Sus scrofa: one gene and its partner. The protein of the gene in region 1 purifies or fractionates together with the protein of each later gene. This does not show direct contact. Links are inferred from orthologs where the notes say so. Each region holds a gene or a part of one and is shown on either strand. Other genes may lie near its edges.

Region 1 (3,322 bases):
GGAGGTGGAGGGAGGGATTAGGCCTGGTCCAGAACCGAGAAGGGGTCTCAATCTGAGATCCTGACAGGCGGCAGTCGAAGCCCCCTGCACTGCAAATAGGATCTCCTTGGCCGGCTTCTGCCTTCAAGCTGCCCTTCAAACGGAGCCCCCATACCCCTCTCCCTGTGCTATAACCTTTCCAATATACAATGTTCCAGATCCTTGCAATTTCAGTCGGGGAAACCGAGGTGCATAAAGGGCACAAGTTTACAAGGCAAGATGAGGGGCAGAGATGGGACTTGGAACCACGGCTTTGTGATTCCAACTCCTGCAAATTGTTATTCGTTAAATCATTAAACAGATGTCTTGGAGCTTTGGGTAAATAGGGAATTGGAATTTCACAGATAGGCCAACTGGTGGCCAATTTAACTGGGAGCTGTGGTCCCAGCTGGAGTCAGAGAGGCCATGGTCCAGCCTCTGCCTTTTGCTGATATGTGACCTTGGGCAAACCCCTTTCCTGAGACTCCACTTATTTCTCTATGAAATTAATCCCCTCATAAATTTGCTATGCAGGTAAAACACTCAGCAGGGAAAGTGCTTCATACATTACTGGTGTTATTATTGTACTGGTGTAGTATTGCAGAGGTTTGCAAAATGGTGGTTCAGGTAGGATGGGCTTCAGAGGACAAGGGGTTAAGCATCCCTTGCCCAGTCCTATTCCCTGGAATTTGCTGCCAGAGTTGGATTAGGTCCAGCCACCCACTCTTGCCCACTCAGGGTGCTCCTGGGAGACTACAGTTTATTCATCCAGAAAAAAAAATTCCCCTCCCCCTCTCCAAGCGGGGAGGATGCTGGGGTGCCTGCAAGTCTGGCTCTTGAGGACCCCCTCAGCTTCAGGGAGAGTCTGGGGAGAACTGGGGTTGGGGGGGCAGTGTTGAGCCAGAGGGAGGGGCAAGTCTGGAGAAAGGGGAGTATCTGAGGAGGATTTTTAAAAGATGAATAGGAGAGCACCAGCCAGAGGAGGGTATAGCTGAAATTTAGGATGTGTGTGTATGTCTGTCGAGAGGAGAGTGGGCTTCAAATGCCTGGCAGTGGAGCTGGATATTTTCCCGGGGACTATGGGGAGCCAGAGATGGTATGTGAGAAGGGAAAGGGTTCATATATGAATACTAGAAATTTTCTCCTAAGGTCTGAATGGGGGTACGACCAAGGGCAAGCTTGCAACCCTTGGGTTTTACAGATTGAGAAACTGAATAACCACCCAAGGACATACGGCCAACTTGAACTCAGACCGCCTGGGCTCACAGCCAAGAGGCAGAGACTTGGCTGGGGCTAAAGGAAAGCTGCCAGCCAGCTGTGTGCCATCTGCCTGGCTCCCGCTGGGGGTGGGAAATTCAACCAGCCGTCTCCTGAGGCTGCCACCAGCTGCGCCACCGTCACCCAAGTGTACCCTCCTCGGGTCTGCAGGAAAAGAAACTACAACTCCTAGCAGACCCGGGGACTTAATGCTCTGTACGCAAGCGTCTGCTGAGGAGGCGCCGTTCTCCTGCCACCTGCTGGTCCATCTGAAAAATTACATGCGCCTGTGTGCAAGGACGCTCACGCCTAAGGTGTGGGCGCGCAGACGTAGAACTACAATTCCGGGAGGCCCCCGCGGCAAGGAAGGCTCCGCTGTAGGAAAAACTACAACTCCCAGAAGTCCTCGTTCGCAGCTGCGGAACCTACGGGTTTCGGAATAGCTGCCACTGGACGGAGTGCCGGCGGCTGGACATGGCTTTCTTGGCTAGATCCGTGGGTCGCCTCTTGGACCCCGTCAGTAGGTCAGCGGCGCTAGTAGGTGGCAGGTGAGTCCTCAGTGGGTCCCCTTCCCAAATCTGGGAGTAAGAGCGGAGTCGAGGGGCTGACCCCAGCTATTTACCAACGACATGACCTTCCTTCCAATGCCTTGCGAACTCGAGGTTGAGCGCCACGCAGCAGTCACACAGCAATCTTTTCTGACCTTTCTCGCTTTTTCTCTGACCGGGCAGGTGGCTCCAGCCCCAGGCCTGGCTGGGGTTCCCGGATACATGGGGACTCCCCGCCATGCAGCAGACCCGGGGCAAGGCGCGCGGGAACGAGTATCAGCCGAGTAACATCAAACGCAAGCACAAGCATGGTTGGGTCCGGCGCTTGAGAACGCCAACCGGGGTCCAAGTCATTCTTCGTCGCATGCACAAGGGCCGAAAATCATTGAGCCATTGAGAAGGGCGACGCTGCCGCCTGGACCCCTCATTAAATCATTTCCCTCGCTTAGCCTGTGGCTGTTTTTGTGGAGAGCTGGAGAGCAGGACGACTGGGATTCGGACGGACATGAATATCCCTCACATTGGCCCAGGGGAAGAAATCTGGTATTATACTGGAAAAAGGAGTGGAAGTCAGACCTTGCCCGGTGCTTTTTTACGCTTTTGAATTAGGAAGAATTTCGAACTTAACGCAACAGTCTAGTGACCAATTACCCACAACCCATCCTGCCCCCTCCTGAGATGCAAATCTCAGGCGTCAGATTATTCTGTAAATATTTCAGAAGGCACCTCTTCAAGATAAGGGCTCTTTAATACATATTCACAAAACTTTTCACAGCTGAAAAAAAGTTATCAGTTCTTTTAGTCATTGAAAGTCTAATAAATGTTCACATTTTCACTTGTGTTGTAAAATGTCGTGATTCCCACGGTTCTAGGAAGGCTTGTGGAGAGTTGGGAGGGATATGAACCCAACCACCTGCCCCTTGGGGATGGGCTATGTGACTTTGAGCAAGACCTTAACTCTCTGAGGCTTATCTGGCTTCTACAAAATCAGGTGCTCGTTTCTCCCTTGCTGTGTTGTTGCTGGAGTAATAATACTAACTTCCCCTTAGTAACCTGAGGAGTACTTCCTCAATAAATCCTTGTTCTGTCCAGGCTGTCAGGCTGGTGAGGAGTTGGGAGGTAGATTCGTACGCAGGCAGTTTGGACATAGTGGAGTCAGGGCTGGTAAGAGGGTGGTGAGGGCTATGGGGCCATGAGGAAGCACCCGACTTGGCATTGGGAAGAACACAGGGAAGGCTTCCAGGAAGAGATGGCAGGGTGTGGGAGGGCCGAAGGAAGGAGGGACTAGAGAGGGGTCAGCATAAAAGGTGGACGAATTTGGCTGGAGGGGCCCAGGATATGGGGCCGAGGAGGTGGGACTGAACCCTTGGGGTAATGAGGAGTCACGGGAAGTGTTCGAAGAAGAGTCTGGGTTGTCAGTTCAAAGATAATTCAAGCAGCTAGTGTGGAATAGCTTAGATATGCTGAAACCTAAGATTGGGACCCTGGGGAGGAGGCTG
Region 2 (4,298 bases), on another chromosome or scaffold:
ACGGCCCTTAGGAAAAAAAAAAGTAAAAAGTAAAAAAAAAAAAGGGTGGTGTGTATGACTTTCATCTTCCTCGATCAATCACCCTGAGCCAAGAAAGGGCTTTTAGGATTTATTGGACAACATTTTCCAAGTATCCAGAAGAATCCTTGGCAGATAAAGGTGACCTCTTTCTACCAATACTTTCGACACCAACACCAGTTGTCAACTTTCTGCTTTGCAGACAGAGAAACACCAAGTATCAGAGTAAGAAAACGCTCAAAATGAGTCAGAATGGGAAATCGAGACTTAATCTTCTATCATTCCTGAGTCTAAGTAAAGGGAAGAACGCACTTACCGATGCCCATATGCCTGCCCTTCCGGCGGGCCAGGGTGTTTTTCCGGCATCGAGCCCGGGAATGGACAGTCACAGGCTTCCGGATGATCAGCCCATCTTTGATCAGCTTCCGGATCTGCTGACCTGGGAAACCACAATGTATCTGGTCAGTCACCTGGGGGCTGCCTGGCCTCAAGCACAGCAGTCACAAGCCAGGGCACAAACAAGAGGCCAGAGATACCACTCACATCCCTGGTTTCAAAAGCAGTAGAAATAGGGGAACCTCTGTTTCTTAAAATACATAAGAATTTCATCCATCGAGAGTATTTTATAGCAAACTCTCTCTATATTTGGGGAGGGGTGATTAAAATAGTATACAAATACAGCCTAGTCCTTCAAATCCTGTCTCAGCTGTTAGCTACCAGCCTAAAATAAGGTGAGGAAGTTTTGAACACCCATTACACCACCACAAACCCAAACAGGTTAAAAATTTCTCTGATGGTGACAAAGATTCCTGCTTGACCCAACCTTTGTCAGGTTTCCAAGCCTTCTAGGCCCATCCTTACAGTTCCTTGTAAATTCTCATTTTGGAAAGAACCCCGCTTAAGTTAGTTAACCAGAAACCCCTATCGTGATTTCAGGAAGAATCCTTTTTTTTAGGTCAGTTTAGTCAGAATCCCCCTTACCTGTTTCTTCATAGTAATTTTCCTCCCACTGACCCCTACACTGTGCTCCTTGGCTGTCAATCCCTAGTTGCTCATGCTACCTTCTGATTTGAGCCCAATCTCTCCCCCTCACTGTAAAATCCCACTGCACTGGTCCCCGGAGAACTATTTCAATGGTCCTGAATAAAATCTGCCTTGCCATCATCCCCCCCCCCCAAATATGGCTGCTCCCATGGCATATGGAAGTTCCCGGGCCAGAGACCAAACCTGAGCCGCAGCTGTAACTTATGGCATAGCTGTGGCAATGCGGGTTAAGACCCGCTGTGCTACAGCAGGAACCCTATTTATGGAAGTACTGTGGTATGCTAATGTTATCTGCAGGACTGACACTGTCTAACTACTTTGAGTAATTATGTACAAACATGCCTCTGTTCTGAGGCCCAGGCCTTCCCAATTCATCCCTAACCCCCAGTACTCCAGTTTGCTTCTTCACAAACCCTTCATATAGCTATACAACAGAACATCCATTCTAACCGTATTTACTAATATAACACTGGGTAGTTCCATTAACCTCCATTCTCTCATTCTGGCAAATGGCAGGAAGAGAAGAACCCCTGGCATTTCCTATTTCTTTGATTCCTTCCATTTCCTAAGGATGCCCACCCCCCAATGTCCGACTTATGAGCTCTCCTAAATCTGCACATTCAAGTTAACACAATTGTGCCACCTTTCATCCCTCAAGGGTTGAGCAGGTGATAGGGCAAAGAAAGGTCGCAGAACCCAAGAACTCACGGGAGTTGGCGTTGGCGATTTCATTAGTCTCATTGGGGTCCAACCAGACTTTCTTTTTGCCACAGCGGAGGACACTGGAGGCAAGCCTCTTCTGAAGCCTGAGCATACTGTAACAAACAGAAAACACTATCAGGCCCTGGAAACCATTCCTGGGCAAGGAGCATCCCCAGCAAGACCTGCCCTCCAAAGCCTTCTAATGTGAAATATACCACAGGATATGGATGTATGTGCATTTAGTACTAAGGACAAACATGTCTCTCCCGCCCCAGGCTTTTGCCACCCACAATGGCACCTCCAAATTAAAAATCTCCCCTGTATCCAGATTTTTGTTAATGCCTTGGCAACTACCCATCCCATAATGTAGACAAAGCCCAAGCTATATCTTGACGTATTTGCGCCTCAGTTTTCTCCTCTGGAAAATAAGATGAACGGATGAAATTGAAATTTATAGAGGGAGCTAATACTCTGACATGCACCAGTGAAAATGAATTTATTTAACGCGAAGAATCTGAGGCCAGCGGAGCCGATTCGCTAGTCAGTCTTCTGATTCCTGGGCTCGTTTTTCTCATCTTATCACAGTAATATACTAGCCTTAAGGATTTTCTTATGATGGCTCCACCGAATAAAAGGCATCAAAGAACCAGGGATTGCTTCATCCCGGACAGTCGGAGGCTCGAGACCTACGCGAGGCCCCGTCCTACGTCACATGCAAGCAGACATGGGCTCGGAGCCACAGATTGACCCAGCGAGTAAGGAAGCCATAGCCCGGTTCCCGCCACCGCCTCTCTTCTGCCCGCAGGAGTAGCCTCGGACACGTGTGGGGCGCAGGGCTCGCCCTTCCTCCTGCGTAAGAGTGCCCAGGACGCTCTCCCACCCCCATCCTCTCCAGGCCAAGAGCTAGTGTGCTCCGGCCTACCCTAAGCTCCAAGGCCGGCCGCTTCAGGGCCGTCTCCACCTCAACTCTCCCACCAGGGGCTGAGGTATCGAGCCGTCGAGTGCCCTGGCAGCCGGAATCAACCAAAATCGGAGACCCTGGAGCCCTTACCTCATGGCTGCTGCCGCAGCGGCGAAAGGAAAGAACTTGCTCTCGCCAGGCTCCTCCCATTATCTGTGCAGGGGAGAGCTCATCCCTGGCTCCGCTTTCGCCCGTATTCCCCTCCAGTCTTTTCATCTTCTGCCACCATAAACGTACTTATATCTTCTGTAAAGATCCGGGATACTCGAAGCCTAATATCAGAAATCGGTTTTAAACTTAAAAACATAGAAAATATACCCCTTCGGCATGGCAAAGTGGTATAGTCCGACTTCCTATTAGGCATGCGTGGCAAGGGTGTCTGGTCACGTGGATGGCGGAAGCCGGAAGTCAGCTGGGTTGCGCAGGCGGGTTGAGGGAATTTTGCTAGAGTGGCCCGTTTCTCGCAGTCGCGTTGGGTTCTTTGGGTGTTTTATTGGCGCGGGGCGGGTGTGGAAGGTGAAGCAAGAGGGAATAATGAGGGCGGATTTCAGACAAAAGCAGCCCTGTATTCACTCTCTTAATTATTGGGAGACCCTGGAGGTCAGAATAAACCACCAAAGATACTAGCTGATGTTTTTGCACCCCTATGGTCCTTGATCTCTTAGTGCCTCAGTTTCCTTCTCCGTATAGTGTACGTGATATATCCGTTGTTCAGTTGTGAAAATCGCATGAGTTAACGTTTGCAGCTTGCGAAGGCAGGCATTAAGACCAGCTCCTCTTTAAAAATAAATAAGTAAAAAGGCATGCTCCTTATGACAGGAACCAGTCTTTTGTTTGGCTCATACTGTATGCCGGCAGCCATGGAGCTTTGCACATAGTAAGCACTTGAGAAATAAGGAGCGAATGAATAGCTGTGAAAGTCTTAAACCTGGTTGCTAGAACCTCTCATAGTTCTTTCCTCTTGCTCTGGAGTTCCCAATGCAAAAACCTAAGGAAGTGCAACTAGAGATTATCGTACTAAGTCAGAAAGACAAAAACCTTATAATATCACTCATATGTGGAATCTAAAATATGGCACAAATGGGAGATCCCCATTGTGGCTCAGTATCCATGGGGACGCTGGTTAGATCCCTGGCCTCACTCAGTGGGTTAGGGATACAGTGTTGCCGAGAGCTGTGGTGTAGGTCCCAGTCCGCGCTCAGATCTGGTGTTGCTGTAGCTGTGATGTAGACTGGTGGCAGCTGCAGCTCAGATTCCACCGGAGCCTGGGAATCTCCACATGCCACAGGTAGAGACCATAAAAAAAGCAAAATAAATAAATAAAATATAGTGCAAATGAATCTATCTACAAAACAGAGACTCACAGAAAACAGACTTGTGGTTGCCACGGGGCGGGGGGTGGGGGGAATGGACTAGGAGTTTGGAATTAGTAGATGCAAACCATGGCATTTAGAATGGATAAACAAGGCGTTTCCGTCTTGGCTCAGAAGAAACGAATCTGACTAGTATCCATGAGGATGCAGGTTCCATCCCTAGACTCGCTCAGTGGGTTAAGGATCCATCTGGCATTACT

Evidence for each region.
Region 2: the proteins of MRPL34 (region 1) and RPL19 purify together in Homo sapiens (co-immunoprecipitation; 3 studies listed by BioGRID and IntAct, with this or other methods). This does not show direct contact. The link is inferred for Sus scrofa from reciprocal best matches to the Homo sapiens genes MRPL34 and RPL19.

What each region holds. Positions count from the first base shown.
Region 1 is NC_010444.4:60,377,240-60,380,561, reverse strand, and holds MRPL34 (39S ribosomal protein L34, mitochondrial), read left to right. Parts: upstream 1-1,594; 5' UTR 1,595-1,749; coding exon 1,750-1,823; intron 1,824-2,006; coding exon 2,007-2,220; 3' UTR 2,221-2,658; downstream 2,659-3,322.
Region 2 is NC_010454.4:23,031,375-23,035,672, forward strand, and holds the start of RPL19 (60S ribosomal protein L19), read right to left. Parts: upstream 2,964-4,298; 5' UTR 2,821-2,963; coding exon 2,816-2,820; intron 1,878-2,815; coding exon 1,771-1,877; intron 458-1,770; coding exon 335-457; intron 1-334.